Linked DNA regions of Callithrix jacchus. The protein of the gene in region 1 purifies or fractionates together with the protein of each later gene. This does not show direct contact. Links are inferred from orthologs where the notes say so. Each region holds a gene or a part of one and is shown on either strand. Other genes may lie near its edges.

Region 1 (3,752 bases):
TTTGGGTACCTTCCCCTGTGTCTGCAGGGAATCTATAGTGGGGGGGGGGGGTTAGGGTCCTGCCTCTGCTGGTAGAATAAAAACCTCAAACACAGCTCACACAATCTTTTTCTCATCTGGTCCCACAGTAGCACTGTAAAGCAGGTATTATTCTTATTTAAAAGAGAAAAAAATCTATTAAATATAATCAATATGTGGTTTGTATTTGTGCCTAAGAGATCACAAAAAACATAGGATTCACTTTTATGTTTTTTAAGTTCTGACAAGTATTTATTAAGTGCCACATTGTCTTTATAAGCTGATTGACAGTCTTCTTCAAAATTGCATGATATTTTTTCATTATATGTTTTTTGCAACACAAGCAAAACGTGTTTGTCTTGAAAAAATGAGAAATTCAGATAAAGCAAAAAATTTTTAAAATCACCTATTATCACACAGATAACCACTGTTATGCCTTTGAAGTATATACTTTTAGTTTTTTCTTTGCATATTAATATATATACATTTTTTACAAAAATGGAGTACAATCCATACCATTTGAAAATTGCTTTTTTCATTTCACAATATATAATGTACATCTTTCATGCAAATGTGTAGACCTCATGATTGAAAGGGGAAACTTGCAGATTTTAGGGGGGAAACCCCAACTTTAAGCTAGTTACAAACTAAACATCTAAAATAAAGCCTCGCAAAAAGTTAAAATTCAGAATAGGGGAATAGACATGAAGAAAATGCAAACAGAAAGTCCAGGTGGCAATGGCAATACTATTAGCAGGCAAAACAGAATTAAAGGCCTAACACATTAAATAGGATAAGGACGGCTGCGTTTTGCCTTCCAGTGCATTATCATCAGTTTGTTCCTTACTCTTTTCATCTCTTCTAGCTCATCTGCAGCCTGTATCATCTCCTCATTGGTTAAATTTCTGCCATGTATGTCCCCTCTAAATTGCGGGCGAGAACGAGCCAACCTTTCTTTAAAGCTTCCTTCTTCTAGCTTATGTTTTCCTACACCACAAGGAGGCTGCTCCATGGGAGGGCGCCCCTCAAACAGGTCCTTCCTGGAAAGAGGCTCCTGCGGAGGGCGCTCCTCCGAAAGGAGCATCTCAGGCAGGAGCTCAGGCAGGAACTCCTCAGGAAAGAACTCCTCCTCCGAGGACTGCTCCTCCGAAGACTGCTCCTCGGGAGACTGCTTTTCGGGAGAGTGCTCCACCGGAGGCCTCTCCTCATTGGTCTTCGGCGCGCTCTGCGGCTCTTCTTCATTTTCTTGGCGTGGTTTGTCCATGTTGGGAATATTCTTCTTCAAGCACAGTTATTCTTAGGAGACAAGAAAGGCAGAATAAGAGTCAGAATACTAAGCGGCTGGACTAACACCCAGGCCGTTGGTTCCAATACCTGCCTTATCCTGATTCGGGGCCCAGGTCCTCAACCTAGCGCTTTCCCGGTGGTTCTCCGGCTCTCCCGACTCCACAGCTTCCCGGTCGCCCCCTCCTTCCCGAAAACCCACCATTTTCCCAGCAGGCTTTGCTACAGGCCTCGCCCGCAGTGACAGGGGCGGGACAGTGCGGCCTGCAGACTCCCTGCCTTTCGGCGTCCACCCTCGCGCCCCAGTCCCAGTCCACTGCGTACCACCTTTCCTGACCTGAACCTTTCCGGGTCGTATGCTCCTAGCCGTCCTCTCCTCGAGGTGCCTCGCTGTGACCAGCAGACCTGCACACAGACGCAAGACAGGGTAGGGGGCGGGGAGTGGGGAGGAGGGACGGACGGACTGACTGACACCCCCCACCCTCGACTTTCTGGGCACCAGCCACTGCCTGCACCCCCCCTTCAGGTTCTCCTCTCGCCTCAGACCCTGCATCAAGCTTCGTACTCCGTGCCCCCACCTCCCCACCCCGCAAAGCTTGCCATTTCTTTTCAGTTGGGAAAGTGGAAACGAAGCATTCTTAGAAACTATTTCCAAGTGTCTGTACCTCCCTCCCGGGGGGGCGGGGCGGCACTCACCTCCCCACCCCTCCTCCACCACCATTTTTTGCACAGAAATGTGGGCGCGGGGGGCGAGAGGCTGGAGCATAGGGAAAGGCCTGGACTCCGCCATCCCGATTCTGTCAACCCCCTTCCCAGGGTTACTAGGCAGCGCCGACACTCACATCGATTTAAGAGGGTGGAGGGAACTTACTTTCTTCTGCTTTCCCTCTCGACCAAAGGGTAATAGGGAGATGGTGGACAGGCAAAAAAGACCAGGACGAGAGGGACTTGGGCAGACATAGGCTCCTGGTCACGTGAGGGACGCGCGTCACTGCCGAACTCAGATACCCAGTTACCACTTTAACCTGCGGCCCTGTTGCAGCCACCTGCTAGTGCCTGCTAGTGTCCCCTGACCCCAGACATACCAGGCATTGTCACACATCTCTCTTTGTATTTGCCTTTTCCTGGTTGCCAGAGATGGTCAGCATCTAGTCTCGGGTGATATTGCCTCTTCCTGTGTGCTGCTTCCCCTAGTACCACCTCTTTCTACCCTCCTCCCTTCCTCAGCCACCAAGGACCCTTATTTCCCCTTCAGTTCAGATCCTGCACTAACATTTGACTGTTCACCTTCATAAATCAATATTATATCCTTATATTCCAACACTCTCAGTTTTAATCCACATCCATAACTCCATCATGTCCATTTAGGCTCATTCAGCATGTTTTCATCTCTTGTGACTTTCATGGGAGAGAATCTTTCACTTTTTCTTGACATCACATTTTGGTTTTTGAGCCCCCAGACCTACATTGGTAATCATTAAGTTCTAGACTTTCAGAGAGAGTTAAGGTTGTAAAGTATGTACATCTAAAAAGAATGAATACTTTGATTTTCATAAATCAAATATGCATTTGTCCATCTAAGTACAAATAGTCCAGAAAACTTATTTATTATCTGAAATGGGATAGTTCTTGGTGGAGAGCCTGGCATTGTTCTATCTGTGTATATCTATACACACGCATATATATATATATATATGTATGCATACACACTGAATATATTACACATTAAATATATATATGTATGTACATATATATAAATTATTCAGTAGTTATTCATAGTAGAAGAAATAGATTTTACTGAGACTCTCAATCCTTAACCAGCCACCTCTTGGTTCTTCTGGTTGAGGAATTTTATAATAATTCATTAAATCAACAAATATTTGAGTTCTGGGACTGCTGGACCCCAAAAGTTAGATGCTGCTGGGAGGGCATTCCATATTAAACTATGCAATAATTCTGTTGACCACATACTGAGAAGCAGGACTACAATCATGCTAGGATATTCAGTTGTCATTGAAATATGTATTTTTTGGATCCAACGCTATTTTATGATCTTTAACTTGATGCCTGCCTCTCACCTACTCACATCAAGCTGGATGCTACTTTCTTATGCAGATGCTCTTTCCTCCACAGGGCACACTACTTCCCTTCCCTCTGTGTTTTACACTTTCAGGGTAGGTGGCCATCTGATCTGCAAGGATCCTGGGATTTTGTTTTAAAGCCAGACTGTTTACTAAGTTTCTGAACAGAAATTCATGTGAAATTTCCCTTTTTAAGAACTGTTTGTTGCTTTTCTCCAACATCTAATTAACTTCGTGCTGAGATAGCAGCTAGACAAATATTAGTTTACCTTCACATCATTTTTTATAACTTTTATTTTCAAATTTGTCTGTGATATGTGTCTTTAAACCAAGTATCACTATGCCTTCTTATTATTTTTTTTATCAAGG
Region 2 (2,725 bases), about 51 Mb from region 1:
TCAATGCACTCTTGCAGCCGCACGGGAGCCTTCTTCATCACGTACCCGACGCAGTCATGCTTCACGTAGCCCTAAGGTTGGGTGAGCAGATGGCCAGGTGGCCGGGTGTGAAGATGGGTAGAGGGGAGTGGGGGCCCAGAGGTGGGAGACACATGCCAAGTGGGTCAGAGCACCAACTTTGAAGCTAGGAACCTCAGGCCCTGGAGCTCTCAGTGGGTGTTCAGGCCCCAAGGCCAGGCTTGAGCTGGAGCTCTTGGCTCTGTTCCTGGCTGGAGCAATTGTGGGGAGGACGTACAAATTGTTGAGGGGCAAGAGCTGAAAGTGCCCCCCATCCCTGGGATCTTGTTTACCTCAGCCTCCGCCTCGTCATAGTAACGCTTCTTCATCTCCGGCTCCCAGTCGATAGCAATATATGGCTGGGCTGGGGGGTGAGGGAAGAGGTGGTCATGGATGCTGCCAGGAAATCTCCCCTCTGGTGTCCCCAGCCCTGGCTAACAGCCAAAGGAGATACCATGGACTTCTTCAGGGGAGGTTGTGCGGTCGCTGGTCCCATTAGAGTTCACCGTCTGCAGGGTGAACAGCTGCTTGCGCCGTCGCCTTGGGGGCCACTGAGATGTGCCAAGGCAGTTGTCCAGAAGGAATGGGCACCTGTTGGTGACTCCAGAGCTAGGCCCAGGCTGCTCTGGCTCAGGCTCTCGGAGGCTGCCCCCAGTTGAGGGCCCAGGGACATCATCTTTATCTTCCTCATCATCTTCTAGGACAAGAGGATGTCAGAGATGGGAAGGTGTGAGCCTCAAGTGCTAAGCTGCCATCACACCTAGATGAACCCTGTGTGGGTCAGACCTCTCCCAGACCCCCCGCCCACTGACTGTCAGCCCCTCGCCCCAACTCAGGCCATGGCACGACTTGTACAGACCCTCATCCTTGTCGACCCTCTCTCCCACCTTTCCCTCACCTTTCTCATCCCCATCATCTTCATCATCTGAGCTGGGTTTGGTCACATAGCGTCTGCAACAGAGCAGAGGAGATTCCCAAGACAGGGGTACAAGGACAGTGGTAAATTAGGGCCCAGGATTTTACTTAGCTGAAAGTAGGAGGTGACTGGTACACCCAAACATAAACTGTTCTGAGACCGGGCGCGGTGGCTCAAGCCTGTAATCCCAGCACTTTGGGAGGCCAAGGCAGGTGGATCACGAGGTCAAGAGATTGAGACCATCCCGGTCAACATGGTGAAATCCTGTCTCTACTAAAAATACAAAAAATTAGCTGGGCATGGTGGCGCGTGCCTATAATCCCAGCTACTCAGGAGGCTGAGGCAGGAGAATTGCCTGAACCCAGGAGGTGGAGGTTGCGGTGAGCCGAGATCGTGCCATTGCACTCCAGCCTGGATACGAGCAAAACTCCATCTCAAAAAAAAAAAAAACGTTCTGAATCTGACGTGTGAGAGTGATGAGGAGGTGATACATTTATGTATGAAGAGGCCAACACTGTCAGCAGTGGTCTGACAATGAAGGAACTTGGGTGCCTGTCAAGAGGTGTGGAGTGTGATTAGCCGGGCGTGGTGGTGGGCGCCTGTAAGCATAGCTATTTGGGAGGCGGAGGTAGGAGAATTGCTTGAACCTGGGAGATGGAGGTTGCAGTGAGCCAAGATCGCACCACTGCATCTCCCAGGTTAATCACACTCCACCATCAAGACTCTGTCTCCAAAAAAAAAAAGTGTGGGGTTTGGACTTTTTAGTCTAATAAGCTGCTGCTAGACAGACACATGCTGGCCTGGCTGTAACTTCCTATCAGGGAAGGGCTCTGAGAAGTGACTTGAGTGCAAGATGAGGGAGGAGAATCCTGGTAACACAATGCTTTGTGTGCCATGGTAAAGATTCTGGATTTTAGGCACAATGAAAATTTGTCAGCAAAAAGACAAAAAACCGAGATTCTCCCAAGAGAGACAACTGAAGACAAGACGAAGCTGTCTGTTTTGTGCATCTTGTTCACCTCTGTGTCACTAGCACCCAAGAGAGGCATTAGCAAGGCCAGAGGTCTAGAGAAAGAAAAACCACCCTACAAGTTCTTCTATGGCCACATTAAATTTGGACTGTCTTTTGCTTGTTGCAGGGGAGGTGTCAAATAAGCAGCTAAACACCCAAGTTGGAGTTCAGACCCCACCACCCCTGCCGCCCCTGGGAAGAGGACACTTACGAGAGCCGGTACATCAGGACGTTATACAGGCCCTCCCAGGTAAACCGGTCCCGGGGCACCGACACCAGGAGGGGGTGCCCAAAAAGCATCAGGCCATAGTAAGAGTTGTTGTAGTCACGGGCAGGGGTGCGCTCCCGCAGGTAGACAGGAACCACGATGTCCTCTCTTGAGCCCTCGATAGCCTCAATCCGACCTGACACCTCATAGCTGTGGAGGGTGGATGGCAGGCATACATGATCAGGGCCCCCTGAGACTCCCTGACTCTGCCCTCGCTGACCCACCCACTCACAGCCTGAAGGTATTTTTATTTATTTATTTATTTATTTATTTATTTATTTATTTTGAGATGGAGTTTTGCTCTGTCACCCAGGCTGAAGTGCAGTGGCGTGATCTCGGCTCACTGCAAACCCTGCCTCTCGGGTTCAAGCAATTCTCTTGTCTCAGCCTCCCAAGTAGCTGGGATTACAGGCGCATGCCACCATGCCCGACTAATTTTTGTATTTTTAATAGAAACAGGATTTCACCATGT
Region 3 (3,752 bases), on another chromosome or scaffold:
TCCTTCAAAGTCACCTGCTCTTTCATCTCTTACACCATTCATTATGGCCTTCACCTACTTTCAATTTCCTTGTAAGCCTCAGAATACCTTCTCAATTTTTTTTTAAGAGAAAAAGAAAAGTCCCACTATACATTGTACATAAAGGTCTCTTTTGCTCCAGATTTAATGAACGTCATTATCCAGTGATTCCATGCCTTTCTTCATTTATCCTTCAAAATGGCGGCCTTTAGAAGTTCCATTATTAGCACCACGTGCGCCTGCGCCTCTCGCGGCCATTTCGCCCAGCAGCCCAAGCTCGGCGAAGCGCCTGCGCACGAGCCTCCAGAGCACTGTCGCTCCTCCCTCTAGCTGAGTACGCCTGAAACCGCACGTTCTCTTCCCTTCCCTCCCCCGCTGACTCTGCACCGCCCTCACCCTTTCCTGTGAGATTCTTCCGCCAAGTGGAGGGCTCATCTTCGGTCGACAGCCTACGCACTTGACGAACAATCCAATAGGCACTTACAGCTCAGGGTGTCTCCATTCATCCTTATCTGTGCGCCACGGCAATTTTCCTTCGGGCCCCAAAGTTGATAACCGATTTCGCAGGACTTTTTTTTTGCATACTGTGAGGCAACAAATGGAAAGAATGGGCCTGTGGCGGAGGGATCTCTCGCTTATTCTCTGTGTACTTTAACCTAATGGGGGTCGACCGGGAGTCGGAAGGGGGTGGGGAGAGGGAGGAGGCAGCCAAGGAATTGTTTTTTTCTCTGGCCCCGCCCCCGCCAGGCTGACCAATGGTGATAGTCTGTTTTCCCTGGAGCCTCGCCCAGCTCCTGTGTCTCAGCCAATGAGCGGCGGAAGCGGTTCCGAGGGGGCGGGTCCGGGAGGCTGTGCGTGTCTTGTGAGAGCTCTTGAACCAAGTCAGCGCTGGAGTCGGCGAGGCGGTTGGGAACGACGGCTGCTGCTGGTGACTCAGGGAGGCGGGAGGCGGGGTAAGAGCGCCGCGGCCTCGGCTGCGGGGACAGGGGGAAGGAAGGTGAAAGCGTTGAGCGCGCGGCCCTGTCGCGGGTTGGCAGCGGCGCAGGCCCGCGGGACAGGCGCCCGGGGGTTGGGGGCCAGGGAGCTGGGCGCCGGGGCGGCGCGGCGGGGCAAGTGCGGAATCGCGGGCTCGCCCACCCTTCCTCGCGGGGCCGCCCGGGGCGGGGACCGGGCCGCCCGGGACCGGCCATCTGCACCGGGGCCTTTTCTTTTTGGGGATGAGGGCTGAACACTTTCAAATCCGCTCGAGCCGCAGATAATTCTTCCTTCACTCTCTCTGCGTTTGCGTTTGAGGTGTTGGAAAAGCGAAACTTGAGAGAGCGAGGGTCACGCGGCGCTGGGTCCCGGGGTGCGGCGGGGAGGGCGCCGGGGGGCGGGAGGGCGCAGGATAGGGGCTCGGTGCGGGTACGCCCGGGGCTGGCCGCGTCCTCGCGCGGGTTCAGCGCCCTCCGCCCGCCGTCTCCGCCCGGCCCCCTCCCACCGGCCGCCCCCGTCGCATTTTGTTTTTGTGTTTTTGCAGGGAGGAGCCCTTCCTGCAGGCGTGGAAACCATGGTGCTCACGCTCGGAGAAAGTTGGCCGGTATTGGTGGGGAAGCGATTTCTTAGTCTGTCCGCAGCCGACGGCAGCGACGACGGCCACGACAGCTGGGACGTGGAGCGCGTCGCCGAGTGGCCCTGGCTCTCCGGGACCATTCGCGCTGTCTCCCACACCGACGTTACCAAGAAGGATCTGAAGGTACAGCCGGCTCCGGGCCTCAGCCGCCGGACGTTTCATAGTTACCTTGGTAACGCGACCATCGGCCCCCTCCCTCCGTTTTCTGAAAACGGAGACCAGAAACTTGGCATCTGATCTGAAGGTGCAGGAAGCTAGACCTTGAAAGTCTTTGGGATGGTTGTGTAGAGCCGGGGTGTGTTTGGCCCACAGCTTTTGGCTGCCTGGCTTTAATAATGGGCTTAGGGTTGTTCAGACACGCTTCATTAATGCCGGTGCTGTGTCCCACTACGACTGTCTGATCTTTTCTCCAGAGGAGGAGGGGTATTTCTGTTAGCGTTGGGTTGGACCTGTAGGTGACGTTTGGAGGCATTAAGAATTGAGGGTTAGTGCTTGGAAGTGTTTTCAGATAGTTTTGTTTGTTTGCTCCTCTTAATTTATTCACTCAACTTTTACAAAAAACTTTGCCTTGTTAAAAATGAAGTTAGCGTAGAGGGAGGAGCTTAAGTAATGTTTGGCGTTTAGGGTGGGTATTTGTCCGTATATGGTGGGTCAGGGCAGGAGTGGGTTCCTGGTTTTCTGTGATGAGCTTGTCGGTGGGTGTGGGATATGACCATATATGGAGGAATGGGGTGGAGCAGTCCCATATATGGGATATTGGAGGACTGACTTAGAAATACTATGCTTGGACGCTTTGGAGGAGGAAGAAAATTGGAAACAAGTATGGTCAGTGAATTTTTTTTTAATCATAATGACACTCAGAACCTTTTTCTGTTAGATCTTTTCATAGATAGATGAATTCTGATTGTGCTCCCTAATAGAAGTATTGGTGTGAAAGGATTGTCTGGGAACAACTAGTGAGGAAGCCATTGTACCAACAAAGACTCCTTTGTGCAAAAATAACTGAAGAAAGGTTCCTAAGAAAGACTCCAAAGTGGTGATAACTTGAAGGAAGCTTGTCAGAAGATATTTCCACCCTGCATAATGGATGTGTTTCAGTATCTTCACTTGACCATCATCTTTGCTTTTTCTTAAACTATGGTCAAATAAAGGAAGCAAGTTTTAGCACTGGCAGTTGATATGTTGATTTCTAAAACACTGTTCATTTGAACACATTCAGGGTGACCGTGCATGCCCAAACCGGTATTTATCTGCAGAGTTGTGGGGAAAGGGTATGCTGTTATGTATTAATGCTTCAATGTTGTGCCTTGTCTCATGTTGAAAAGGAGGAGTGACCAAAGAGCATTTAACTGTGTGCCAAGCACTTCACAACCATGATCTCGTTTAATCCTTGTAGGAGTTCTTGGGGGTAGGTACTAATATTGCCCCCAGGTTTATGGATGAAACTACTGTGCCTGAGGGACCTTAAACATCTTGCCAAGGACACATACCTAGGAATTGACATAGCCTGATAGCCTGTGTTTTGTCTAACCCTGGAAGTTTCACTACAGAAGCTGCCCTCTTAATCAGCCAGCCAGTAATCAAGAGCTGTGCCACAACAGAGTTCCTGTCATGCTGTGAGGTTTGGTTTTTTTCCCTCCATTCCACTCATTCTCCTGCCAAATCAGGTTGTGATATTTATAGAGAGAATATATTGTGGTGCAAGAATGGCAACCTTTTTGCTTGGGGCTTATAACCTTTCTACATAAGATAGGCTTTGTCTACTAGATTTCAGTTATGCTTGTTGTGGTTTATTTCACCTGCCAAGTAAAATTTTCTCTAGTGCATTTGTTTTTATGTGATTTGAATGGAAACAAGATCTTATTTAAACTTTCCAGTCTTCAGTTCTTTGGCAGATGTTGAGAGACTAGGCGTTCCCTGCCCTTCTCTGGCGGTGATTGAGAACCTGTTAGGTTAGGCAAGCAATCTAGAAGGAACTGTCTATGTATAAATTTTTTAAGTCTTCTCCCTCCACCCCCATCCTTTGAGGAGGTGGTGATATCTTCATTTTCAGAATGAGGAAATAGATTTAGGAAATCTTGTCCAGATTTGCATAATTAGCTACTAAGGGAGGCTGGGAATC

The links.
Region 2: the proteins of TCEAL1 (region 1) and USP11 purify together in Homo sapiens (affinity purification with mass spectrometry; 4 studies listed by BioGRID, counting the BioPlex papers as one, with this or other methods). This does not show direct contact. The link is inferred for Callithrix jacchus from reciprocal best matches to the Homo sapiens genes TCEAL1 and USP11.
Region 3: the proteins of TCEAL1 (region 1) and KDM3A purify together in Homo sapiens (affinity purification with mass spectrometry; 3 studies listed by BioGRID and IntAct, counting the BioPlex papers as one, with this or other methods). This does not show direct contact. The link is inferred for Callithrix jacchus from reciprocal best matches to the Homo sapiens genes TCEAL1 and KDM3A.

Annotation. Positions count from the first base shown.
Region 1 is NC_133524.1:99,680,233-99,683,984, reverse strand, and holds TCEAL1 (transcription elongation factor A protein-like 1), read right to left. Parts: upstream 2,234-3,752; 5' UTR 2,145-2,233; intron 1,708-2,144; 5' UTR 1,630-1,707; exon of another isoform or gene 1,627-1,629; intron 1,475-1,626; exon of another isoform or gene 1,393-1,474; intron 1,315-1,392; 5' UTR 1,283-1,314; coding exon 803-1,282; 3' UTR 242-802; downstream 1-241.
Region 2 is NC_133524.1:48,203,831-48,206,555, reverse strand, and holds part of USP11 (ubiquitin carboxyl-terminal hydrolase 11), read right to left. Parts: intron 2,404-2,725; coding exon 2,197-2,403; intron 1,009-2,196; coding exon 956-1,008; intron 755-955; coding exon 512-754; intron 422-511; coding exon 351-421; intron 72-350; coding exon 1-71.
Region 3 is NC_133515.1:26,553,711-26,557,462, reverse strand, and holds the start of KDM3A (lysine-specific demethylase 3A), read left to right. Parts: upstream 1-905; 5' UTR 906-971; exon of another isoform or gene 972-1,015; intron 1,016-1,537; 5' UTR 1,538-1,567; coding exon 1,568-1,753; intron 1,754-3,752. UniProt on the Homo sapiens protein: Histone demethylase that specifically demethylates 'Lys-9' of histone H3, thereby playing a central role in histone code.